7 linked regions of the Mus musculus genome follow. The protein of the gene in region 6 interacts with the protein of the main gene of each other region in a biochemical or structural test. Links are inferred from orthologs where the notes say so. Each region holds a gene or a part of one and is shown on either strand. Other genes may lie near its edges.

Region 1 (3,500 bases), on a different chromosome or scaffold from region 6:
CATCTAACTGAATTTCCTCCACAGCACCTTCCATTAAGACATTTAATCAACACAGAGCTTAAGTCTCAGAGGATTCTTTCATTATGGAGTTCTCATACTAAACAGCCAAAACAAACATTAGTAGTATTTCAGAGTATCATCAGATGGGAGATCACTATTCAATGATGCTAAATCAAAAGGCAAAGTTGCAGAGTGGGCAAAGTGCAGAAGGAGGGAGTGTGGCTATTCTAAAATGCAGGAACCTCAAAGGAAGTTAAAAGAGAAATCACTACCAATATCTGGCATCAAAATGCATTCCTAATGTCCAGCATATTAATAGCACTAATGTATTTATAAACTCTCCCAGGTCTTTCAGGATTATCAAAAATGCTGGAGAGGCTGACCACTACATAATATAAAACAAAAGAATAAAATCTCTGGCAATTTACTGCTTCCTAAGAAACTGGAATAATTTATTTTATTCTGAAAGTGAAATGCACCATTCTATATACCTAACCAGTAAAGAAAAGGGTAGGTAAACCAAGGTTAGACTGATATAAACACCAATTACCTAGAGAACTTTAGGAATAACTGAAATAACAAGCACACCACATCTCTTTAGTCATGTAGAAAGTGGTCCAGCTGGGCACAGTAGTGCATGCCTGTAATCTTAGCACTTGGGAGAGTGAGGCAGAAGGATCACTATGAATCAAGACCATTCACATGAGAGGGGGAAAAAAAGTAGTTCAATGACTTCACCAGTGCCAGTCTATGGACCCCTATGCACCAGTCTTAGTACCACTACCTCCCTAGCTTCTGCCACCCCTTATGTGAATAAATCGTATAGCCTTCAAGATCCCCAGAGACTCACAGATTTTGTGTGTTCTGGGCGTGGAGCAATCACTGGAGGTGGGGTAGCATCGTCATCATCATCTTCATCTTCTGACACTGGTGGTACTGCTGGGGTCTCAGACACAGTCTTCACATTCTATGCAGAAAGGACAAAAATCAACCGGTCCAGTGGACATAGAACTCCAGATCCCAGGTCTGCTAGTTCTTTAGAAGGTAGTCAATTCTGACACCTCTTCTGAAAGGTCATCAACCAAGGCTCTCCATCTTTGTGCAGTCAGCTGTCTCACTCAGACAGCTTCCTTCTCTCTTAGCCATCACTATCTATTCACTCTGAAAGCTTCCTTTTCCCATCTAAAGACTAAAGAGTAGTAAGCCAGCTTATAGTTTCCTTACCTGCCTTATACAATCAAATACTCAAAGCCATGTTCAGGTTCTCCTTATTCTGTGAATTTTACTCTTTATAAAGAGCAGAAAATAAGTGTAAAGAGGAAAATAAAAAGTATTTAATTTTCTATACTTTATCACTGTGATTATTTGTTCTTAATATAGTAACTTAAAGTCTAAATAGCACCCCCACTTCCTTTCTCCAAACTCCTGAACCTATTATATTATAGGGTATGGCTGTGGCAGACCCTGTGGGTTTCCCCGAGCTTCAGTCCTGCCTCAGGATGAACTTTACTGCACCACTAGTTAGATCTGCAAATGATCTGCAGCAACTTGATTTTCCCATGCAAACTGTAATAAAGCTAGACAAAAATAACCAGACTCAAGATAAGTGGATCTAAAACATGAGTAGTTGTTCTTATTGTTATTGTTTTAGTAGTAGGACCAGAAAGGCAATATGGATTTTTCAGATAAATGGACATAAATTTCACATATTTTCAGAGTGCCTAGAATACTGTGGTGGATTCTGTCAACATCAAAGGCATAAAAATGAAAAAAGATGGTCCAAGTTCTGAAGTAGGTCACCATCACTAGACAGAGCCAGAGGGTGAGGCCCTCTCCTGCCTACCACCTGAAGCTCCTGAGAAAGGAAAGCCAAGAATCCCAACAAGTGACAAGTTGAAGAATCCAGAAAGACTGAACATTTGATACACTAAAGAAAGCGCAATCTCAAACAATAAAAACACATCATAATAGAGCACAAAACTTGACAGTGTCAAGCACGTATAAGCACCAAGTTATGACCACCATAGGCAGTACATCATCCTCTAAAATATTATGAGGAAATGTGAAACAAGAGTTATATAATTTGAGGGGAAAGGAGGAAAAATGAGGGGAAGGGAAGAGGAAGGAAGGAGAGTGGTAGGTTACATTATACGATGCTATCTCAAGAAAAAAAAATGTAAATGAAACAACAGAGACCAGAAGGCAATAGGATGATATAATCTAGAGCCAACATTTTAAAAACTTAACAATCACAAAATCTATATACAATAAAACTACCTTTAAAAAATGGAGATGAGGGTTGGAGAGATATATCAACAACTAAGAACATCTGCCACGGAACCCAGCAACCTGAGTTTGATCTCAGGGACCCAAAGGGTGGAAGGAAAGAACTATCTCCTGAAAATGGTCCTCTACCACTGCCCCCAACACACACACATGGGCATGTGCACACCCCCTCAAATAGAACTAAAGAAATAAAATTATTTAATAAAGATGAACACATTTGGGGTTAAAAAAATAAACCAGAGAATGTTAGCATATCTTACTTGCAACTAGTGAGGTTTTATGTGTGTGTGTGTGTGTGTGTGTGTGTATGATTATATACAGAGAGAGTCATTCTACTAGACTCAAAATAACATCAAATGGTAACTCAAATCCATCAGCCAAAATGAAGAGCACAAGAAATAGTAAATATATAAATAAATATTTGGGCTGGAGAGATGGCTCAATAGTTAAGAGTCCCGACTGCTCTTCCAGAGGTCCTGAGTTCAATTACTAGCAACCATATGGTGGCTCACAACCATCCATGATGAGATCTGATGCCTCCTTCTGGTGTGTCTGAAGAGAGCAATAGTGTACTCACATACATTAAATAAATAAATAAATCTTTAAAAAAGAAAAAAGAAATATTCAACAAATATACATTTTTAGATTTCTTGTTGCTATTTTATTATATATAATATATAACATGTATCATATAAATAAGTATATTGTTTATTTATACATAATACACACATATGTATATTATATATGTACTATATGCATAAATTATGTAGAAATAACATATTATATATGTTAATATTATATAGAATGTAATATAACATTATTATATACAATTCATATTATATATGATATTATATACATGTTATATACAGATATAATATATACACATATATTCATTTGTTTGAGACAGATCTCTCTACATAGCCCTCGCTGTCCTAGAACTTGCTATGTAGACCAGAGATGTTCAAACTCACATAGATCTGCCTGCCTCTGCTTCCTGATTGCTAAGATTAAAGGTACCCAACAAATCTTGTTGCTTTTTTTTTCTCCATTTTTTATTAGGTATTTAGCTCATTTACATTTCCAATGCTATACCAAAAGTCCCCCATACCCACCCACCCCCACTCCCCTACCCACCCACTCCCCCTTTTTGGCCCTGGCGTTCCCCTGTACTGGGGCATACAAAGTTTGCGTGTCCAATGGGCCTCTCTTTCCAG
Region 2 (3,500 bases), on a different chromosome or scaffold from region 6:
GCAGAAACGGGATTGGGAGTACATAAAATGCCTACTATTCTACTGGTGTTTCTCAACCATCCACTGACTGCTCTTCCAGAGGACCCAGGTTCAATTCCCAGCACCCACAGGGCAGCTCACAACTGTATGTAACTGTAAGATCTGACGTTCCCACACAGACATACATGCAGGCAAAAACCAATGCACACAAAATAAAAAATAAATTTGAAAATTAAAAAAATAAAAAGTTTGAGGCTGCGGAGTCTATCACAATCCAATTTGGCTGGTTTACTTTGAAATTTCAGTTATCTTTGGTCAACCAGATGGAGGAAGACCATTTCAAAAACCTAGAAGTAGGGCATACTGCACTAATAGTTCTATTTTATTATTGGCTGTTAGTCTTTTTCTATCTAGGCTATGAGATGAACTTTATCATAGGAATGTTTAAGGAGAACAATGAGTTCAATGTAATCCATGGTTTCAGTCATCCGCCAGCCCCCTGCCAATAAGAGGGGACTGCTGGTTTTTGGAGGTGCATCTGGGCAATTAGTCCACTAAACTTTTTTAAAAAGTTCAGGATGCCCATGGATCAGGGACGAAGAGCTCTTCCCTTCCCTGAGGCCACAGCAGCTGCAACTGTGTAAGAACCATTCTGTCTGTACATGGAAACGACTCTATATCAGTTTCGGTTAGAGAGCTGCTTGTCTTGAGTCTCTGCTCCTCACATTTGGATAAACGGATAGCATGGATCAGCAGGACCGGTCTTAGTCCTACTGTGTGAAGAGCGCAGTTGTGAGGGATATGCTGTGTGAACAAGGGTTAGAACCTGGAGGTCCTGAGCACATTGTCAGTGTGCTGTCTTCCCCAAAGGCCACAGTACTGTACCCTCAGAGCTTAGCCCCTGTGAGCCCCATCCTACCAACTGTTTTTCTCTCCTATTTGAACAGCTCTGGAAAAGGTGCTAGACCTTTCCCTCTTCTCTTCCCTCTACTTGGGATTGGAAAGATTCCATTTGGTTTTTTGTTTTTGTTTTTGTTTTAAATCATCACTTGGTGTTTTGCTGTCAGGTCTTTCAATGAGGCAAGAAAGACTTAGATGTTGCCTGGGAAATGTAGACAAGGATATAAGCTACTCCTGGTTATTTACATTAGATTGATGGCCATTTTGTGGGGATTAAATTATGTGAGGTAGGAAATATAAATCTAAATAAAAAAAATTCTTAGTCTGATTTTCAGGCCTTTATTTGTCTGTAGGGGCCTTTTCAAAGTGTGCATTAGATGGACGATATTTTTGATATGTGAATGAATACTCTAATTTTTCCTAGATTTATTTGTAAATGCAAAATTGGGCAGACAATGTATGGTACTGGTTCAGGTGTCACCAAACAGGAGGCAAAGCAGTTGGCTGCGAAAGAAGCCTATCAGAAGCTGTTAAAGAGCCCGCCGGTATGTGTTGCCAGTTAGATTTAATTTGTACAATCATGATTCCCTTTGAAATTGACTTCAGATTGCTTTGTCTTTATACTGCGGGCATATGCCTATTGAGTAAAGAATGGTCCCTCCATCCTGTGTACCAACAATGATCCACGAACCATGGGGCCACGAGGGTCTGAGACATAAAAGTTCTATAGCAACTCGGGGTTGCTTTTTAAAACTTAGCCCAAACGTCCATGAAAAAATGTGTTAATTTTGTGATTGCAATTGTGGAGTTGGTGGCCACGGGGAGAGTATGTGCAGTAGTGTGTACCCAGTGACAGACCTCCTCAGAGAGGCCAGTTAGCTCCCTGTGAACAGTGATGGACTGCCTCAGGGAGACCAGTTAGCACCCTGTGAACATGCTAAGGGCTGTCCCTTCTTTCAGAAAACTGCCGGAACATCCTCTAGCGTTGTCACATCTACATTCAGTGGCTTTTCCAGCAGCTCGTCTATGACAAGTAATGGGTGAGCTTGGGTGGCAACAGTGCTGGGCAGGCTGAGGGTGTGGCATGTCTGAGGCTGTGGGTCCTGATCCCCCCCTCCCCACCAGACTGAATTCATCAAGGTTCCCCTTTTCTTGTAGTGTTTCCCAGTCAGCACCTGGAAGTTTTTCCTCAGAGAACGTGTTTACGGTAGGATACCAGCCTTGAAGTTTCCCATTTCCCTTTCTCTCCTCACTTAGATGTGATCTTTCCATATGATTATGATCATTTCATAAGTTTTACATTTCAGTTTCATGTCCTTACTAGATCATGATATTAACAGTCATTGCCTCTTTTCTGTTCTCTTTATTAACTTTCATTCATATTAACTTCTCTTCTTCAAGGACAAAATTCTTCCCCACTCTCCCCCATCCTTTCCCACCCACTTTGTAACCCTCCCTCCCTCCCTCCCTCCCTCCCTCCCTCCCTTCCTTCCTTCCTTTTTCTTTTCCCTTCTTCCCTTTCCTCTCTCCCTTCCTCCTTTCCTCTTTCCCCCCTCCCTCCTTCCCTCTCTCCTTCTCTCCCTTCCTCCCTCTCCTCTTTCCTTCACACTCTCCATCCCCTACCCCTACTCCTCCCTCCTTGCATCCTTCCCTGTGCTGGGATTCAAATTCTAGCTATAAATAGGTATTCTAGCCAAGTTCTGCTACTGAACTCTCTCCTGGCCCTTACCTTTGTTCTTTTTAACGTTTCTACTTTCTTTTTCCTTGTCCATTCAACTGAATAATATTTGGTGTAGTTCCACCCCTACTTAGAATCAGAACTAAACTTAAAAATCAGGCAATTTGTTGTAAAAATCCATCTATTTACTAAGAACTACAAGTCTGTAAGAAAAAGACAGTTGATCCAGTAGAACAGATATGGTCTGAAGGGATGTGCTACACCTAAGTGGGCAGCGAGTGGGAAAAGATGCTTCATTCCCCTAGCGATGAGGAAAGTGCACCTCCAAATGGCCATTTGATGGCATGCCACAGCTGCTTGGCAATCCTGCAGTAAGCGTTGGTAGCGACTCAGAGAAATGGCCGACCTAGGAAGCTGATGTAAGGAACCTGGTCACGGGGCCAGCTCCCAAACTAAGACGATGGCTCTCCTCATCTGAAACAGCTTCCTTTTCCTTTTGTTGCAGAACGGTCTCGGAGAAAATAAAAGGAAATCAGGAGTGTGAGTATCATTGTGCACGGAACATATTTCAGACTAGGAATCTCTTTCAGACTCCGTCTATCAGACTCACCTGTTGACTGTGGCACTGACAGAACATTGTACGTGTGTGTTTGGGTGGTAGTCTCAGAAGCAGTGGAGAGCTGGAAACCAATTTAGCAGGAGAGAAACACAGAAACACACCACACACTTACACACTCACATCTTTGTATCTGTAGATACAAAAGCCCTGTGATGATGTAGCAGGCGCCAGTGGTGGGCTTGAGGGTGGGGAGACAGGGTGGTGGCATGGCTTTGTGGGGCTAATTCTGGTGACCTTTGAACATCTCACTGCAGATGGCTCACTATCAGAGAGGCATGAGGGCCAGAGGGAGGGGGGACCCAGGAGACCTTTGTCCTAAGGATG
Region 3 (3,500 bases), on a different chromosome or scaffold from region 6:
GGAACAAGTGAAAGGGGGAAGGGATGTTTGCCCCAGAGGGGCAAAGGACTGCCTCTGGATAGAGAGGAGATGGATGTGGCCCATAGGCAAATGGCACTTTATAAAGGTAAAGGGGAACCCCTGAGTTAGGGTGGGTTGTTTTGTTTTGGTTGGGCTTGTTAATTAGCCAAAAGGGGGGGGCTTTAATAGCTGGACCCTGGTAGTCAGCCTCAGGAGGAGGAAGTGGCCAAATAAGGAAATAGACCTTGGGGCTAGCTTTAGGAACTGAACCCAAGGGTTTTTAGCAGGGGGAGAAAGGTAAAAGCCAAAGCCTATCTGCACCCTGTCCTCCCTGTGTGCAAGTGTTTTACCTGCAGGAATGAATGTGTAGCATGTGCATGCCTGAGGCCCATGGAGTCCAGAGCTTGTACCAGATCCCCTCGGACTGGGGCTATGGATGGATATGAGCCACCATGTGAGTGCTTGGAATCAAACCGCAGTCTTCAGTGAGAGCAGATACCACTCTTAACCACTAAGCCATTTCTCCAACCACCATGCTTGGCCTTTGTTACGTGAGTCCTTGAGATCTGAGCACAGGTCTCATGCTTGAGGAATAAAAGCTTTACAACTGAGTCTTACATAGGGTTTCATTGCTGTGAAGAAACACTATGACCAAATCAACTATTTATTTTATGTGAGTACACTGTAGCTGTCTTCAGACACACCAGAAGAGGGCATCAGATCCCATTACAGATGGTTGTGAGCCACCATGTGGTTGCTGGAAAGAGCAGCCAGTGCTCTTAACCACTGAGCTACCGCTCCAGCCCTCAAGGCAACATTTAATCAGGCTGGCATACAGTTTCAGAGGTCTAGTCCATTATTGTCATGGTGAGAAGCATGGCAGAGTCCAGGCAAACATCATACCATCTACATCTTGATCTATAGGCAGCAGGAGGTGACTGAGCCACTGGGCATGTCTTGAGCATATGAGACCTCAAGCCCCACCCCCACAGTGACCCTCTTCCTCTAACAAGCCCACACCTTCTAATAGTCATATTCTCTATTTGTATGGTCTATGGGGGCCAATTCCATTCAAACTATCACACCCATATGTGTTGAATTAATTATGAGTATTAAACGAAGTAGACAAATGTCTACTTCCAGGAAGGTGTAGATTAAAAGGGGGAACTAAGTCTGTGACTGTGGTGTAAAGCAAAGTTGGGCCCCAAGCAGATTGGAAGTGCACAGTGACCTAGAGAGGTGAGTTGATATTGAATGGGTTAGGCATTCCTTTCCATTGCACTGGGGCTTGTCTTAACAGGGTCATTCCTACCAAGGAGGGTTTGTCCCCTCGACCAGACCACTCACTCACCCGGCTTCAGTGTTGCTTGTCTTAAATTCTAGCAGAACAAAGTCAGAAGCGTTTCCCAAGCAGCAGATGGTAGCTCAAGATGACTCTCTCCCTCCCATCAAACTTCCCTGTCCCGACCTTGTCAACCCAAAAAAGGGAGCAGGGTATGTGGGGGGCGGGGGGAGGGAGTGGGGAGGCACTGTAAGTTATCATTCACACAATGAGCCTCCTGGATCTTCAGGCTGTGGAAATAAAAGCAGGGTGAGACCTTTCAGAATAGGGCGGAGCTGGTCTAGAAAGGGGAGGAGGTAAAGCCTTCTTCCTGCTGGGCTGAGAGGATTGGCCCTGACCACCAGGGGCAGCATGCTGGGGGTGCGGCCTGTTTCGACTCCTCCCTCTCACTTATTCCAGTCTGTGAGCTCTGGGACTCTAGACTGTGTGTGTGTTGGTAGCAGAAGGCAAACAGCAGCTTCAGAGGTTACCAAGGGGTCCCTATGGGGTTGGTGACAGAAACGCCAAGTAAAAGTACTCTGGAGCCAAGAGCCTGCCTGCTCTGGGGGTGTGGCTGTTTCTCGGCAGATGTCTTAGGAAGCCTCCAGATGGTAGAGGAGGGCACTTGGAAGGGGGCCAGCCAGAAGGGCTGGACCTCTTTCAAAACTGGTCCTACTCAGACCTGTGCAGTGGGATCCAGAGCTGTATGTTAAAGCCGAGCCGCTTGCCCTGGGCGCTGCTGAGGTCACAAGCGCGGGGGGGGGGGGGGGGGGGTGAGGAGGGAAGCCAGGCAAATGATTCGTGCAATGGACATCGGGGCTGGGGGTGTAGCTCAGTTGGTAGCGCTTGCCTAGCTTGCAAGAAGCAAGCTTAGCTCACTTGATTCCCCCATCATACACTGGGTACAATCCAGCATTCAAGAGGTAGACGCAGAAGGACCAGAACTTCAAGGTCATCCCAGGTTACACATTGAGTTTAACACCAGCTTTGGATACATCAGACCCTATTTCAACATAACAACATTAACAAATGGGCAATACGTTAGCAGAGCTGCCCCATCCACCAGCTCCTTCTTACAAAACAAGCACTCTGGGTAACTTGTCCTTTTTCTAAAACAAAACAAAACAAAACATTGTGGACATCTTGATGAGACAGAGAATTGCACGGAGAACTTTGCTGAGTCCCTACAGTGCCAGGTAGACTCAGGGCATCGCCACAGCTGAAAACCACCTGCTCAGCCAACTCTGCAGGGAGCAAGACACGATTGTACTGTTAGTGCTGATGACACTTAAAGTGTCCCCTCTGAGATTGTCCCTGCTCCCAAACAGGCTGTGGAACACAGTGGGAATTGTATCTGCTCATAGAACAGGACACCTGCACCCTCCACCTGCCCTCTCCTTGCTTCAGGGGACCAGACAGCCACACACAGCCTGTGCTTACAGACAGGGGTCCAGGAAGCCTACCTTCTCATTCTTTACAGACCTGAGATAACGTCTCCCTCTTCCCCAGACTGTGTGGAGGGGGCAAGAGGCCACAAACCTCAAACTGGACTCAACAGAAGACACAACAGGCTCTAGGCAGGAGGATGGTACCCACAGCTATAGCTGTAACGAGGAACCCCTGGCAGCTGTGGCCAGGCAGATCTGTCCTTGAGCGAGGGTGGTGGGGACTGCTTTGAGACTCTTCCAGAGAGAAGCAGGGTGGTTCTGCTTGGAGCTCTCCAGTGAGGCTGAGAGCTGTGTTTGAAGGTCACTCAGGTCATCAGAAAGGTGGGAACTATGCATACAACACTTAGAGAAGAATAATCTACATTGCTGTCATAGACGGAAGGTCCCCACAAGCTGTGCTGGTTAGCCCCAGTGTGCAAAAGTCATACATAGTCTGTAAAAGTCTTTGCGCTCAGGGTTGGAGAAAAGGGAGAAGGTCAAACAGAGCAGGAGGGCTTCTTGACGTGGGCTCTGCATTTCTCTCTCCATGACCTGCATGGGACCAGCTCTCTTCTCCTCCTGTCCTGCAGGTACGACCTTGCTATCAAAGACCTTAAAGAGGCCTTGACGCAGCTTCGTGGGAACCAGCTGATAGACTACAAGATCCTGGGGCTGCAGTTCAAGCTGTTTGCCTGTGAGGTGAGGAGGGCAGGGATGGCCCGCGAGGGAAGCACAAAGGTCTAGCTGTTGTG
Region 4 (4,107 bases), on a different chromosome or scaffold from region 6:
TTTAAGAGATTTTTTTTAATTGGCCTGGTTGAATCTGCTACTTGTTCTCTGGGAAGCATAGTGTATTTAAAAATACAATTTTTCGGTTCTTAATGAAAAAAATCAGTGGGATTCTAGTTAGAAAGACAGCCTTTATGAAATCAGACTGAAACAATGGTGGTAATAATAATAATAATAATAATAATAATAAGTAGTAGTAGTACTAGTAATAAATTGGCACAATTTTTCTAAGGGCTTTTAGGTTGGGAACTGTATTGCCACCCATTGGATAAATGCTATGTCTAAATGGGCAAAGGACTTGTGAAAGTTTTATGGCTTGGTTAAAAACCTTAGGGTGATATAGGTTAAAGAGATTTTATCCCCAATGCTGTTGAATAGCAGGAAGTTTATAAGTGGAAAAGGGCAGCTTTTGTGAACATGTCAGACATAAAACAAAACACCACATTAAAGGGAAGACTGGAGCGCAGATAGGGCCGCCTGGCTCCAGGGAGCCGTTCTGCAATCATGGTCACAGCTTTCTATGCATCTTGGACCCCATTTAAATTCACAATAAAAACCAAGAAAGCAAATGTACACCAGGTACTTTACTCTCGACACCTTTCTAGGTGCCCTGAAGATAGGAGGCAGACTTTCAGGGTGCAGATTAGGGGGGTGGGAAGGAGCTCATCTTACTTCATGTCTTCAGGGGGCTGCCACAGCCTCGGCACCATGTTCCAATCATGGAATTCAGAATGCAAATCTCTAGCAGATGAGACGGCTGGAAAACAGAAACTGCCACAGACCCAGAAGGCTTCCAAAGTTCTCCTCTAAACATCATCTGAGAGCCCAGGGGCTGTGAGCCCCGAGACTGGTAGCCCCGTCTTCCAACCATGGGTGAGGCCTCCTGGAAAACCTAGGCACTTCCAGATGGACTGTCAACCATTCCTTGAATATAGATCTTAATCCTTTATCTCACACGTTACATCGCTAGACATTTCATAACGGCCTTATGGCCGAGTCCTTCATTCTGAAAAAGGTGTTTGTGTATACTGACATCTAAACTGTCCATCAAATCACAGTGGTGGAGGTATCTACAACTGTCCAGAAGTTGTACTCCCTAGCTCAGTTGTTAGTTGAAAGATCTTTTATAAGTCAGACCATTACAGGAGTCTTTTAATGGACTTAGGGGTGCCCCTGGGGCATCCTGGCTGCTTCCTGGGGAGGCTTATTTCTCCCTGTGATGTTAAGGGGGAGTTCCCAAGTCTGGGTCTACTATTAAAGCAGGGACATCTGCTACCCTCCTAATATTTTCAAGGCGGCACCCCTCCTCCACCCCCTCCCAGAACTCGAGGATACTGGGAGGGCTACAAGCTGCCAGGGTGAGGAAGCAGCAGAAGGAATCTTTGTCTCCCCAACACATCCATCAGTTCCCTCCCCAGAGCCCCCACTACACACTGCACACAATCAGCAGCCCACTCCCCGCAAACGCACCAAGGCTGCAAAGATTCAGGCTCCAGTCCCTGCCTGACATTCCTCTTCCCACCCTCCTTTTAATTCACTCACTTTTTTTTTTTTAAACAAAATGTAATTACTTGACTGTCAGCCGGGGCTGCACTCTGGGGCTTTAACTCCTTTCAACACAGATGTGCGCCCAGCTTTGATGCCGCTGTACTCGCAGCTTGTCCCAGCCACAGCCGGCTCGGTAATGTAACATTCAAGTGCATATTTATTTTTAAACTGACCTCTCCTAGACGGTGCAGTATAAAGCAGGTCCTGCCAAAAAATATGCTACTTTCTATTTATAAGATGAAACACATGCCTTCCCTCCCAAAGGCGAGAGCGGGGTGGAGTATAATAATTCATAAAGAAAAAAACTGACTGGCCGGATCCATTCGTCCTCGCATGGCTGTGTCAAGATACTTAGTGAGAAGGAAGAGAAAAGAAGAGGAAGAAGAGCAATAGCAGGAGGAAGAGGAGGAGGAGAGGCAGGAGGAGAAGGAGAGGGGAAGGAGGAGGAAGAGGGAGTAAAGATCTTGTAAACGCTTCAGTTGTTCAGAAACCGCAGTCGAGAAAGAAAAAAAAAATTTTTTTCCCCCAACTGCCAGATCTGCAGGTTGGAGCCTCAGCTACAATGTGCTGCCTCTGTCAGTTCGGAAACTGCCAAGCTGCGCGGTGCACTCTCGCGCCGCGCCGCATCGGTGCAAACACACAACTAGAGGGCCGCGGTAGCCAAGTGCGGTTTGTTCTGCTGGAAAAACGCAACACGCGCCCAGAATGGCTGTCAATGGCCTGGAGGGGGCCGTGCTGACTGCAGCCCCACCCTAAAGAAGTAGGTGGCAGAGCTCCGCGTCCTGATCCCCCCTCCCGGACGTCAAGCATGATGTCCCCTTTGATCCTCTAAACATCAGCTCAACCAGGCGGTGCGGTAGATTATCCTCGCACCCTCTAAGTCTTCCAAGGCCACCATCTGCACTAGCTGGAAGGGGGCTTAGGTTGAGGGTCGGACAGTCTTACAGGTGGAGAGACAGCCTGGGTCACACACTCACCAGCAGTCTCTAAGGCTCCTAGCTTCTGCCCGGAGGGCCGGGCGTCGGCCCGGGTCGCCTCCCGAGGGCGCAACAGTCCTCGCTGGTGCGCGCAGAACCAGAGGGGCGGCAACGGTTCACCGCAGAATCTGCTCCGGGACTGCGCGCGGCGTCTCCCGGGAGGCAGCCGCTGCGGAACTGGGTTGTCGGTGAGCGTCCCGCTGCTGTGCTCCCAGCGGCAGTTGGAAGCGCCCGCGACACTGTGCGCGCGGCTGCCGGACGCCGGGCCTCAACCTGCCGAGGGCGGGGCGCAGGACGCAGGGCGGGGCCGGCGCGGGGCGGGGCGGGGCTGTGAGGCCAGGGCAGGGCGGGGAGAAGGGTGCGGGCCGACCTGGACCGTCCCTCCGTTGTACCTGTCCCCCACCTCCCCACCACCCCCAGACCCGCAGGACTGGAGGCGAGGCTGCGGACTCTTGGAGGACAAAGGCTACCCACTGTCACCTCCCAGTTCCACCCCTTCCCAGTGGTGGCTTCTCTCAGAGGCAATGCCGGCTGGGGCTCCCTCAGGCACAAAGAAAAGTGGCGGGGTGCTCCCTTTAAAGAGGGGACCCCAGAGCGTTGCTGTCCGTACGGTGCGGGAGAACAATGGGACTCCGCCCGCACCCGGGACCCTCGTGCTCACCCTCGTGTCCCCGCCTTTCCCTGTCCTACCTAACCCACCTAGCAGTGCGGGGCTTCGCAGCGGAGGAAGGGGACCTGCGCGGGGAAGAAGGGCCACCTGACCGGGTCGCCGCAGCGCGGCCGCAGCTCCCTGGGGACCCCCTGGCAGCTGTAGCTCTCGGGAGGGAAAAGGAGGGTCGCGTGCTGTCAACGTGCAGCCGGCTCCCCTTGCAAGCTGTCGCCAAAACCTGGAGCGCGGATCTGACGCGCGGGAGACGCGGGGTGGAGGCTGAGAGCCTGCGGGACGCAGAGAAACGCAGACGCAGCAGGTTTTTCCTGTCGGGAGGGTGACGTCTCCTCCCCCTCCAGGTCTGTCAGAGATTGACCTAAAGCTGCGGAAGCGGGTGGCGGCTCTCCGGGACGCTCTGCGAGGCGGCGCAAGTGGCGCAGCTGCTGCTGCTCCGGACCGTAAAATTCCGCCCGTGGCGACACCTGCACCTGTCGGTCACCCAGCCAGGGCCTCAGGACGACCCGCCCCTCTGTCCCTGGACCTCTGTAGGAACCCAGAGAATTAATGTTAATTGTCTTAATTGGTCGCCCTCTCTTCCTTCTCCCTTAGTCCGCCAGGTTGGAGACAGGAAAAGGTGGTGTTTTCCGGCGTTGATGTCCCCCGCCGGCTTGGTTGACCTGGAAAAGGAGCTAGAACCCCGAGTAGTCGCACGCTCCAGGTCTGGCCCCAACCCTGGGACTCTCAGGTTGCCTGGAAATCCTGGCACAAAGCAGAGCCCCTCCTGGAGACCTTGGCTTCCCTGGGCGCTATCGGGGTCATCACAAGGGTGCCCCCAATCTGAATCGCTCTGAAACCTTAGACCGGGTGCACTTTAAGCCCAGGTCCTAAACCACGGTCGACGTTAAGATGAATTTAAAAAGGAAGCGGACACAA
Region 5 (2,374 bases), on a different chromosome or scaffold from region 6:
CCCAAGGACACTGCCTCCAGCTATTCAAGAGGCTACAAACTGAACTTGGTGCCCACATCCATCACGCCAGCACTTGGGAAATGCAGATGAGAGAATCAGGAGTTCAAGACCATCCTTAGCTACATAAGTTTGAGGCCAGCCTGGGCTCTATGAAAACTATGGGGAAATTGTTTTGAATTCTGCTCCCCTCCCAGGTCCAAGTTTATAAGAATCTTCCTCTTAAAATGGACCCCAAGAGACTGGGGTGCAAAAATGGACCCCAAGAGACTGGGGTACAAAAATGGACCCCAAGAGACTGGGGTGTAACAGCTGCCTCCTTTTTACCAATAAACCCACTCAAGTATCCACAGAACAACACTCACGCTCCAGTATGAACCACTCATCCCGGCAGCTGGGAAATCTCTGCACTCTAGGGAAACGGAAGGTAGACATGCCTGTTCTAGAGCATGGAGATCACAAGCATGGGTAACATGCACAAGGCAGGCTTGCCAGAGCGCACCGAGGTTCACCTCCATTTATTCCACACGGGGCTCATAAGAAAGCTTTTATCTCATTTTAACTTGGGCAGGATACATGCAGGTATGAGTGCGACTGCCAGAGTCGGCCAGAGGGGGCCTAGGCTTGGATGTCTGTGAGCTTTGGGAGCTGCTTTTGAAAACCAACTCCTGGTCCTCTGCAAGAGCATCCAAAACCCGACTCCCAAACCACCTCTCCACAGAGATGCCTTTTGAAGGTCCATTCCCGACACTGGCGGTGCAGACTCCAAGAACTTTATATAATTATATATACTTTTTTAATATAAAACAAAACTTGGCTCAAGCCAAGCGGCGGGAAGAAAGATCTTAAATGACAAATATGTACAACCACGTGGGAAGCCACAAGTGGGTCCCCGTAGGGTGACAGGTGACAGGTGAGTGAGGGACAGCAGGTTACACAGGTCTCAGCCAAAAGCCACGTGGGCAGGAATAAAGTGCAAGGTCCTGGGGGCCCCCCCTGTGGCCCAGAAGCAGCAGCTGACAGCCCTGCCCCTCGTCCCCCTCTGGTGGGGTTCAGTTGAGTGTGACTCGGAGGTAAGAGGTGGGCACGTAGCCCTCAGCTCCCTGTTTCCTCCTGACCCGCGTCCATCCATCACCCTTGTCTTCCTCCATCAGGCTGAGGTCTTCCCCCTCGGACATGGAGACGGTTCCCTCGCTGGATCCTGTTGGGGAGTAGCGGGGGCAGGTCAGATTTGATGAATCTGATCAGAAGGCATGGCTCCAAGCAACTGCTACATCCCCTGGTGTAAGGGGAACCTGGGATCTTCTAATCTCAGAGACAAACTTCTGGGATGTCCGAGAGGGAGCTTCTAGATTGTCTGAATTAAGATGGGAAGCCCCACCATGAATATGGGCAACACCATCCCACTGGTTGGGGTCCTGTACTATACAAAGGAAAATTGAGAGTCTGAGGCAGCTCTGTGGGTAAAGATGCCAGCTGTCATGTTTGATACCGAGGACATAGACAGTAGGAGGGAACCCACCTCTCTCACACACAACACAAAAATGGTTTCAAATAAGAAAATAAACCCTTCCTTAAGGTGACTCCTCAGGTCTTTCCTTTGGCTAATACTGGAGACTGAATGGACAGCCTCAAGGACACCGCTCAAGCACTCTACCACCGAGCTACAGGCTTCAGACTAAGTTCCTTTGTCAAAACAGAAACATTTAACTTGTGCTAAAGGCCCACCTTCAAAATGGTAGATAGCCACACACTGGCCGATAGGGGATGCAGGCTCCTCAAAGTCCTCATCGAACTCAGTATAGATGGGGGTGTCCTGGCCTTCTGAAGGGGGCTCTTCTGAGCTGCTTGAGAAATGGAAAAAAAGACAGGAGCATGACCCCCAGGGTCTCTGAATCACTTCCCTGGCCCTCACTGGGGGACTCTAGGCAGAGCTCCACCTCTATCCACACCCCAGCTCCTCACTGGGGGATTCTAGGTTAGTACTCCACCCCTGACCACACTGGGGGATTCTAGACAGAGATCCACCCCTGACCATCCCCCAGGCCCTCACTGTGAGATTCTAGGCAGAGCTCTACCCCTAGCCAGCCCCCAGGCCCTCACTGTGGGATTCTAGGCAGAGCTCTACCCCTAGCCAGCCCCCAGGCCCTCACTGAGGGATTCGAGGTTGGGGCTCCACCCCCCTTGCCACACCCAAAACTCTCACTGGGGGATTCTAGGCAAAGCTCCACCCCTGACCACTCTGAGGGATTCTAGACAGAGCTCCACCCCTGACCAGCCCCCCAGGCCCTCACTGGGGGATTCTAAACTGGAGCTCCACCCTGGCCACATCCACAGGCCCTCACTGGGAGATTCTAGGCCAGTGCTATACCAGGCC
Region 6 (3,500 bases):
TTTCTTAGGACTTCCTATGTTTAGTTTTTGCCATTTTTATTTTGTGACCCTTTCACCTCTGGCTAACTCCTAATTATTTTATTCTTTTTACATCTCCTTCATTCTTGCCAAGTTCCTTTTTTCTAGGCCTTTCCAGTTACAGATACTGACTTTAACATGCACCTATGGATCGAGCATTGGACTTAGTCTGGTAGTTATTATGGATGGTGGATGCCTTCAGTAGAGTATTTTGTTAGGTGGTCTCACTGTGATCTTTAGTAGCTAGAAGTAAATATGATTTTTTTCTTAAACTACACCTGTAGTAATGATTTATTGTTGTTACATTACTACTAAGTTATTAATAAAGAACTTAAAAAAAAGTAGTATGCCAATTTCCTTGCTGTTTAATTTAGTGGCATATATAAATAGAACCAGCACAGAGAGTATTGTCCAAACAGCATATTACAAAGCTATACCTTTGATTAGCAAAATTGCTTTGTCACTAATGGCTGATATGCTAAGAGCTGAATACCTGAAGTCTTAGCGGAGCTGTAGTCCCCTGCCCACCTCTTTTTTGAAACAAGACTTTTACTATGTAGTTTTGACTGACTTGGAGCTTGGTTTGTAGACCACCCAAACTTGTAGTGATCTCCTGCCTCTGCTTCCTGAGCTCTGGGTTTATGGGCATGCACACTATCTCCATTTTTTTCCTTTTAGATTACATGTATGTATGTATATATGTGGAAGCACATGCCATAGCATGTATATGTGGAGGTCAAGAAGCTAAACTTGGGGGATTTGATTTTCTCCTTTCACCGTCTGTTTTCTGGGGACTGAATTCAGGTTGTTAGGCATGTCATCTTTACCACTGAGTGATCTTGTTAGCTCCGCCATGTTCATCTTTGACAATTTTTTTGATATATGATCTCATGGTCACACCTAACCTTCCTGCCTCTGTCTCACTAGTGCTGAGATTATAAGCTTGTGCCAACCATGCCTGTTTTTAATGTGGTATAGGGCTTGAGTCCAAGGCTGTATGTGTGCTAGGTTATCACTCTGTATACTAAATAGCTATAGCCTTAGCCCCTGACCTGTGATTTTAATGCCGCGAGGATACCAAATCTCAGTTGCCAACCTCTCTTAACTCTTTCTTTAGGGCAAGAGGATTATGACAGACTACGACCGCTAAGTTATCCACAGACAGATGTTTTTCTAGTATGTTTCTCAGTGGTCTCTCCATCCTCATTTGAAAATGTGAAAGAAAAGGTAAGTCAGGTTCTGCCCTTTGAAACATGCACAGAATTCCTGTTGCCCTGTTACAGTTTCAGTGGCTTGTGGATTAACAAAACATTTTAAAACCTTGCTTTTAGTGGGTGCCTGAGATAACTCACCACTGTCCAAAGACTCCTTTCTTGCTTGTTGGGACCCAAATTGATCTCAGAGATGACCCCTCTACTATTGAGAAACTTGCCAAGAACAAACAGAAGCCTATTACTCCAGAGACTGCTGAAAAGCTGGCGCGGGATCTGAAGGCTGTCAAGTATGTGGAGTGCTCTGCCCTCACACAGGTAAGGAGGGCTCTGGAACCTATGTCTCTGTAGTCAGTTGTTTTGAGCATTAGGATACAGAGGCTCTTTCCTTTTATTCTTTCTTTTTTCCCTTAAAAATTTGTCCGTGAATGTATACTGTGTGAGTGTAGTTCTGCAGAGTACATAAACTGACATGACTATTCCAAGGTATAGTTGAGAGGAAGGTTTTTTATTGTAGATATGAAGGAAAGACATCAGGAAGAATCCAGAGATGAGAGAGAAAATAGACTGAACATGGCCAGCAAACTGGACTTGGCCATGGTGGTGGTGGGGTTTGAAGGAAGAAGAGAGAGGAGGACCAAGAGAGGGCTGAAATAGAAGGGAATGAGAAGCTGGAGGTGGAGTGGGGTGGGGTGGGATGGGGGCTTCTGAGCTGGAGAAGTTGAGGGTAAGGAGTGGGTGGAGGTCAGCATGCACTTGGTTATGCTAATAGGCACCCTAGGTAGCAATTTGTCCCTTCTGCCAGTGATAAGGAAATGACTTCCTGAGGAGTGAGGGCTTTTTGTCCATCTGTCAGAATTTGGCCCTGACATTTCAACCTTTTGTTTATGATAAGGGCAACATAATCTCTTCTGTAACTGCTTCTTAGTTGAAATTAGGACATTGATGTCAGAGCTCTGGAAGACTGGGATGCCTGTTTAAGGTTGGGAGATTCCAGTGCTCTGAGCAGTCTGGAATGACAGAGACCACTATCTAGACAGTTGTCCCAGATTCCTGTGGTCCTGTTGCACTGTGGTCAGAGGTGGTCTTTGGCCATTAGGCCAGAAGAGGGAGGCCTTTTTTTTTTTTGTGGAGAAGGAACATGGGAGAGACTGACCTCATCTTGTCTTCAGCAACACTTAGCAATAAATCATAGCAGTAAGTTTTCCCGTGTCCGGTTTGCCCACAGTGCAGGCTGGGCCCTAGTGGGCAAGGCAGGGGCCAGTCTGTCCACTGGTCAATGTACTCTAATCCAGGTTTAGTCTTTTGTCATTCTGCCTATATCTTCTTGAAGAACTTGCAGAGGTGGGTTGTGTATCACTGTTAGGATTTGGGAGTCACTGTCATATAATAAGTTTAAGCATATTAAATGCCATAGTCAACAGGTCTCTGACAGGCTTGAGGGCTAGTACCCACCGAGCATATCTGAGTTAAACAATCTTTGTCTGTTTTCAGGTATCTGCGCTAAACTGTACCTTGCAAACATAAAACAAGGGGCTAAGTAAAACTTCATCTTGTAATTACGTCAATTCATAGAGAAACCTCAAATATATTTTTGGACACATTAAAAGATTTGATCATTTATTTATAAGGTTACTATCAACTTGCATTTCTTTTTTTTTTTATTAAGATTTATTTATTTATTATATGTAAGTACACTGTAGCTGTCTTCAGACACTCCAGAAGAGGGTGTCAGATCTCATTATGGGTAGTTGTGAGCCACCTTGTGGTTGCTGGGATTTGAACTCAGGACCTTCAGAAGAGCAGTCAGTGTTCTTAACCGCTGAGCCATCTCTCCAGCCCCTTCACTTGCATTTCTTAATTATCCTTAACAGTTGACAATAATTTAGTAGCTTCCTAAGATTAGGACTTTGTGGGGCTTTTTGTTTGTTTGTTTGTTTGTTTCTTTGTTTTCGAGACAGGGTTTCTCTGTGTAGCCCTGGCTGTCCTGGAACTCACTTTGTAGACCAGGCTGGCCTCGAACTCAGAAATCCACCTGCCTCTGCCTCCCAAGTGCTGGGGTTAAAGGTGTGAGCCACCACCGCCTGGCTAGGACTTTGTGTTTTATCTCTGTTAAGTTTAGATTTAAAAATTAAGATTTTGATTTTGCTCTTCTAGTATCAAAATAAAATTTCTAAATCTATAAATATAGTTTATAATTAGAGACTGGGCACATTTCTGACCTTTATAGAACATAAAAGCTTCCTTGGTAGCCTGTTTCTGTGGTCAGCT
Region 7 (3,992 bases), on a different chromosome or scaffold from region 6:
CTCCCACACATATACGCACTAAAAAGAGAACAAAACAGTGTATTTTTGAAAAGAGCAAAATAAGTCCCAAGCTGTACACGGGGTTACAAACCTGTAATTTTGGTTACTCTAGAGGTTGAAGCACATCCTTTAAACCAGGAGCTCAAAAGCAACATAGGCAAGTTTTTTAAATGCCCACCTCAACAACAACAACAACAACAACAACAACAACATAAAGTTATAATATCCTATAGGGTGTGTCCCAGCCACAGATATACTTATCTTTGCAGGGACATGGTGGTAACTGCTGAAAAATACCTGAACACAAATAGCTGCCAGTCTCCCTACCCCACTACTGTATCCCTCTCCCCACCCCCACCTCCACTAAAACACAACAGAGTGCTAGGATGTATTGCCATGCCACAGTGGCAGCATGTTAGAAACTTCCAAGGATCAAGAAAATGAACTGAGAACAAAGAAAGAAATGCCTGGCAATAGAATCATCCCTTTGTATTTCATTTTTGTGGCATTTTCCCACCAGGATTGTAACTTAGAGGTAGAGCATTTGCCTAGCATCCAACACACAGGCCCCAGAACACCTCATTCTCTCGTATCCATACAAGTGTGTGTGTGTGTGTGTGTGTGTGTGTGTGTGTGTGTACATGTGAGTGCCTATGTGTTATGAGTGGTGGTAGACATGAGGATGTACCTATGCCCTCTCAGCACTGAGGATTATTTGGAGCTGGTCCTGAGCTACAAAGTGAGACTGTTTCATTTTTTATGTGTTTTTTTTCTACGAAGTTGATCTTTAGCCCCCACTGCACACGACTTGTGCACAGGCTTCCTTTTTTTTTTTTTTTTTTTTTTTGCCTCCCACATCCATTTAAACTGCCCTGAAACCCTGAAAAAGTGTGTGCCCCACTCCCACACTTCCCTTAATGATTTATTATTACATACAGAAAATAACATTGACCGCTTCCAAACAAAATACTCAAGACCAAAGGGTTCTTTGTTACCAAGCTTTAGACAGAGCCCTGGGTTTCCTGTGGTTTAACCGAAGTCATCGACGTGACCTCCTTCCAATTCGTGGACAGCCTCAAACAAGAAGAGGAATTTGGAACACACACTGTGGCTACCTGATTTGAGAAAAGAAAAACTACACCATGTCTAGTTTTTAATTCCCAAATTCCCATTACAAGGAACACCGCAGGGTAAGCAAGCACCACAGACGCACAAAAGACATGGCCAGAGCTGCAGCACCTGGCGGATATTCCTGGACTGCTAATGGTATTAGAGGAACTTTAAATTTTAGGAGCCTCTGCATGCTTCACGGTACACCAAGAGTCCAAAGCCAAGCAACTCCGACTAGCTCAATATGTATACATCAAGTGCCGCCTCTCACTACTCTTAAGCTTTTTACCAAAACAGTGGCAGCAGTTAAGACATTTGTTAGCTTTGGTTTTGTCCCTCCAAGGCAAGTAAGAAAGAGCCTTTCGCCTTTGTAGTAAGAGCTGAAGGAAGACAGGAAGCTCATAGGACCAGGCTGGAAAGAAGTGGCGGTCCTAGTGAGAAAACCCAAATTCTTGACCGCAGTTTGCCTGCAAACTCCTCCTCCAACTTCAGGCCCGCGGCTTTCAGAATCCAAGCGCCTTTTTGACTTGGCCCTAGCACGCGTACGTGAAACAAACAGCAACCACCCACACAAGTAAATAAACCTCGCTTTAAAAACTACAGGGAGTGTTACAGGGAAGTGCATCTGCATCCTCCTCCTCAGCAAGGTTCCGCTCTAGGGTACAGAATGCGGTGTAGGAAGATTCCTCCCTTAACATTCCCAACTCCACCAAGAGGCATCCAGGTGGGTGGTGGTGGGAAGTGAGGAAGAGACCTGGAACAGTCTCACCTTGCATGGCGGGCTTCTGGGGGTCCACCTGCGGGGCTTGAGCTGAGCAGAGAGCCACACACATCCTCAGAGTGGCAGCTGGCCTGAGGAACTGAGGTCCACAGTCTGGGCGGCTCTAAACTAGGAGTGCCACAGCAGGGGGGGTGGATTATGGAGTGAATGGGGGCAGGGAAAGGAGAGGGAGAAAGAGAGAGTGAGACAGAGACGGAGGGAGAGAGAGAGAGAGAGAGAGAGAGAGAGAGAGAGAGAGAGAGAGAGAGAGAGAGAGAGGTTGATTGAGAGAGAGAGAGCAGAGAAGACAAAGTGCACCAGACATCCCCTACCCGAACAGGTTGAGGAGGGAGCCGGGAAGAGGGGAGAGAGCCCAGTGTTCCAGGCAACTGAGTGGGAGTGCACAGGGATGTGGTACTCACCTGCTAGGAAGACTGCCTGCAGCAAGCAGAGGTAGTTCTTCCCGTACTTCTCCGCGATCCTAACGCGATGCAGGGCCATGGCCATGTCCACCTGCACCGGGACCGCCTGCGTGAACGGCACGAAAGAACAGTGGTCCTGATTCAGCTGGAGATTGGGCGCCTTGGCGGCAGCCCTAGGCAAACGCTTGACCGCCAGCCACTGCGAGGCCAGGGCCGGAGTGGAAGCGGGAGGGGACCCTGTTGGAGGGAGCCCAGCCCGAGAGGACCCTGCTGGAGGGAGCCTTGCTGGAGGGAACCTTGCTGGAGGGGGCCCTGCTTCCGCCATCCTCAAGCCAGACTCGCTAGTTGGTGACCCCAACCTCAACTGGCCACTGCCGGACTCTGGCTCGCTAGCAGCCCGTCTGTGCAAGCACAGACGCGGCCAGAAGGGTCGCAGTCTACGCAGCTCAGTGGCTTAGAAGACTAGAGCCCCCTAGCTGGGACCAACAAGCCCCAGGACAGGGAGCCCAGAAACTTGCAGAGATTTCAAGACTCTGGCTGCAGAGCACTTCTGACCTCAGCTACTGAGAGTTGAGCAACTCCGCTCGGAGTGGATGTACACCCACGTCCCCGCCTAGTTTCCAACAGGATGGATCAGGGGCGGGACACCGAGAACCAGAGGGGACAGCCCCCACAGATACGCCCGCGGAGGGGTAGGGAAGGCTGGAGCACGTGTAGGGAGGAGACCGCCCGACCTCTCACTCTAGGCAGTGGGAGCTGGAGTCAAGAGTTTTCTTCCTTTGCATCCTGCTTCTCAGGGCAGGGCAGGAGTGGAGTAAGGATACACAGTGTGGGCACCTGCAGATAACACTGTTGGAGAGCTTTGCTGATGCCAGAAAAGCAGCCCTGGTTAGTCCAAAAGGGCTGGAGCTCTAGCCTGAATGTGCCTTCTCCCACCCTGCCCCCCACCAGCCTGCACTCGCCCAAGTTTCCTGACTTGCTTTAAAAAGGAAAGGAGGAAATAGAAATGGGCTACTGAGAAGACTGTGAGGTAAAAAACACTTGCTGGATCAACCTGGGTTAAAGGAACCCTGTGTAAGTTATGGTATAATAAGAGAACTGATCCCACATAAGTGTTCCCTGACCTCTACATGCACTGTAATACATATGTTATGCACAAAAATAAATAATAACCAAAGTCGAATCTGAACATACAGATCAGTTGGTAGAGTGTTTTCCTAGTGTGCACTTCTGGGTAGGAGATGGACTCTGAAGGATCAGGGTTATCTCCAGCGACATAGCCCATTCCAGGCCAGTCTGGGCTACTTACAAAAGATCCTGTCTCAAAAACATCACATACGCAATTAAAACGAAAAATAACAACAAACTGACCAGGGGAATGGGGGGGGTGGCAGCAAGACAAGACATCCTCTTGAAGAACCAAGTGAGAAAGGATGGGAGGTCCCAGCCAATCCCTTCTCCTAAGCCCAAAGCTCCCCAGAAGAAAGCTTTGGAAGAGTAAGGGAAAGCTAGCTGCTCATAACAAAAGCTAGAGCAGCAGGACTTTGAAGGGCTAGCAGGGAGGTAGGGGGGAGGGGCTGGAGGGAGGGAAGGGGGAAAAAAGAAATCTGGTAAATAAATTATAATCTGGAAAAAAAAAAGGAAAAGCTATAGAAGCCGGGCAGTGGTGGCACACGCCTTTAATCCCAGCACTTGGGAGG

The links.
Region 1: the proteins of Cdc42 (region 6) and Pak1 form a complex in vitro, tested with the Homo sapiens proteins (11 studies listed by BioGRID and IntAct, with this or other methods). The link is inferred for Mus musculus from reciprocal best matches to the Homo sapiens genes CDC42 and PAK1.
Region 2: the proteins of Cdc42 (region 6) and Eif2ak2 form a complex in vitro, tested with the Homo sapiens proteins (2 studies listed by BioGRID and IntAct). The link is inferred for Mus musculus from reciprocal best matches to the Homo sapiens genes CDC42 and EIF2AK2.
Region 3: the proteins of Cdc42 (region 6) and Ncf2 form a complex in vitro, tested with the Homo sapiens proteins (2 studies listed by BioGRID and IntAct). The link is inferred for Mus musculus from reciprocal best matches to the Homo sapiens genes CDC42 and NCF2.
Region 4: the proteins of Cdc42 (region 6) and Cdc42ep3 form a complex in vitro, tested with the Homo sapiens proteins (2 studies listed by BioGRID). The link is inferred for Mus musculus from reciprocal best matches to the Homo sapiens genes CDC42 and CDC42EP3.
Region 5: the proteins of Cdc42 (region 6) and Trip10 form a complex in vitro, tested with the Homo sapiens proteins (3 studies listed by BioGRID and IntAct). The link is inferred for Mus musculus from reciprocal best matches to the Homo sapiens genes CDC42 and TRIP10.
Region 7: the proteins of Cdc42 (region 6) and Mcf2 form a complex in vitro, tested with the Homo sapiens proteins (2 studies listed by BioGRID). The link is inferred for Mus musculus from reciprocal best matches to the Homo sapiens genes CDC42 and MCF2.

What each region holds. Positions count from the first base shown.
Region 1 is NC_000073.6:97,880,939-97,884,438, reverse strand, and holds part of Pak1 (serine/threonine-protein kinase PAK 1), read right to left. Parts: intron 968-3,500; coding exon 851-967; intron 1-850. UniProt on the Homo sapiens protein: Protein kinase involved in intracellular signaling pathways downstream of integrins and receptor-type kinases that plays an important role in cytoskeleton dynamics, in cell adhesion, migration, proliferation, apoptosis, mitosis, and in vesicle-mediated transport processes.
Region 2 is NC_000083.6:78,869,073-78,872,572, reverse strand, and holds part of Eif2ak2 (interferon-induced, double-stranded RNA-activated protein kinase), read left to right. Parts: intron 1-1,303; coding exon 1,304-1,424; intron 1,425-1,839; coding exon 1,840-1,919; intron 1,920-2,037; coding exon 2,038-2,086; intron 2,087-3,062; coding exon 3,063-3,097; intron 3,098-3,500.
Region 3 is NC_000067.6:152,813,653-152,817,152, forward strand, and holds part of Ncf2 (neutrophil cytosol factor 2), read left to right. Parts: intron 1-3,338; coding exon 3,339-3,447; intron 3,448-3,500. UniProt on the Homo sapiens protein: Subunit of the phagocyte NADPH oxidase complex that mediates the transfer of electrons from cytosolic NADPH to O2 to produce the superoxide anion (O2(-)).
Region 4 is NC_000083.6:79,352,292-79,356,398, forward strand, and holds the start of Cdc42ep3 (cdc42 effector protein 3), read right to left. Parts: upstream 2,801-4,107; 5' UTR 2,526-2,800; exon of another isoform or gene 2,408-2,525; intron 1-2,407.
Region 5 is NC_000083.6:57,261,824-57,264,197, reverse strand, and holds the end of Trip10 (cdc42-interacting protein 4), read right to left. Parts: intron 1,845-2,374; coding exon 1,726-1,844; intron 1,199-1,725; coding exon 1,050-1,198; 3' UTR 501-1,049; downstream 1-500. UniProt on the Homo sapiens protein: Required for translocation of GLUT4 to the plasma membrane in response to insulin signaling. Required to coordinate membrane tubulation with reorganization of the actin cytoskeleton during endocytosis.
Region 6 is NC_000070.6:137,326,760-137,330,259, reverse strand, and holds part of Cdc42 (cell division control protein 42 homolog), read left to right. Parts: intron 1-1,135; coding exon 1,136-1,245; intron 1,246-1,349; coding exon 1,350-1,547; intron 1,548-3,500. UniProt on the Homo sapiens protein: Plasma membrane-associated small GTPase which cycles between an active GTP-bound and an inactive GDP-bound state. In active state binds to a variety of effector proteins to regulate cellular responses. Involved in epithelial cell polarization processes.
Region 7 is NC_000086.7:60,176,290-60,180,281, forward strand, and holds the start of Mcf2 (proto-oncogene DBL), read right to left. Parts: upstream 2,801-3,992; 5' UTR 2,618-2,800; coding exon 2,293-2,617; intron 1-2,292. UniProt on the Homo sapiens protein: Guanine nucleotide exchange factor (GEF) that modulates the Rho family of GTPases. Promotes the conversion of some member of the Rho family GTPase from the GDP-bound to the GTP-bound form. Isoform 1 exhibits no activity toward RHOA, RAC1 or CDC42.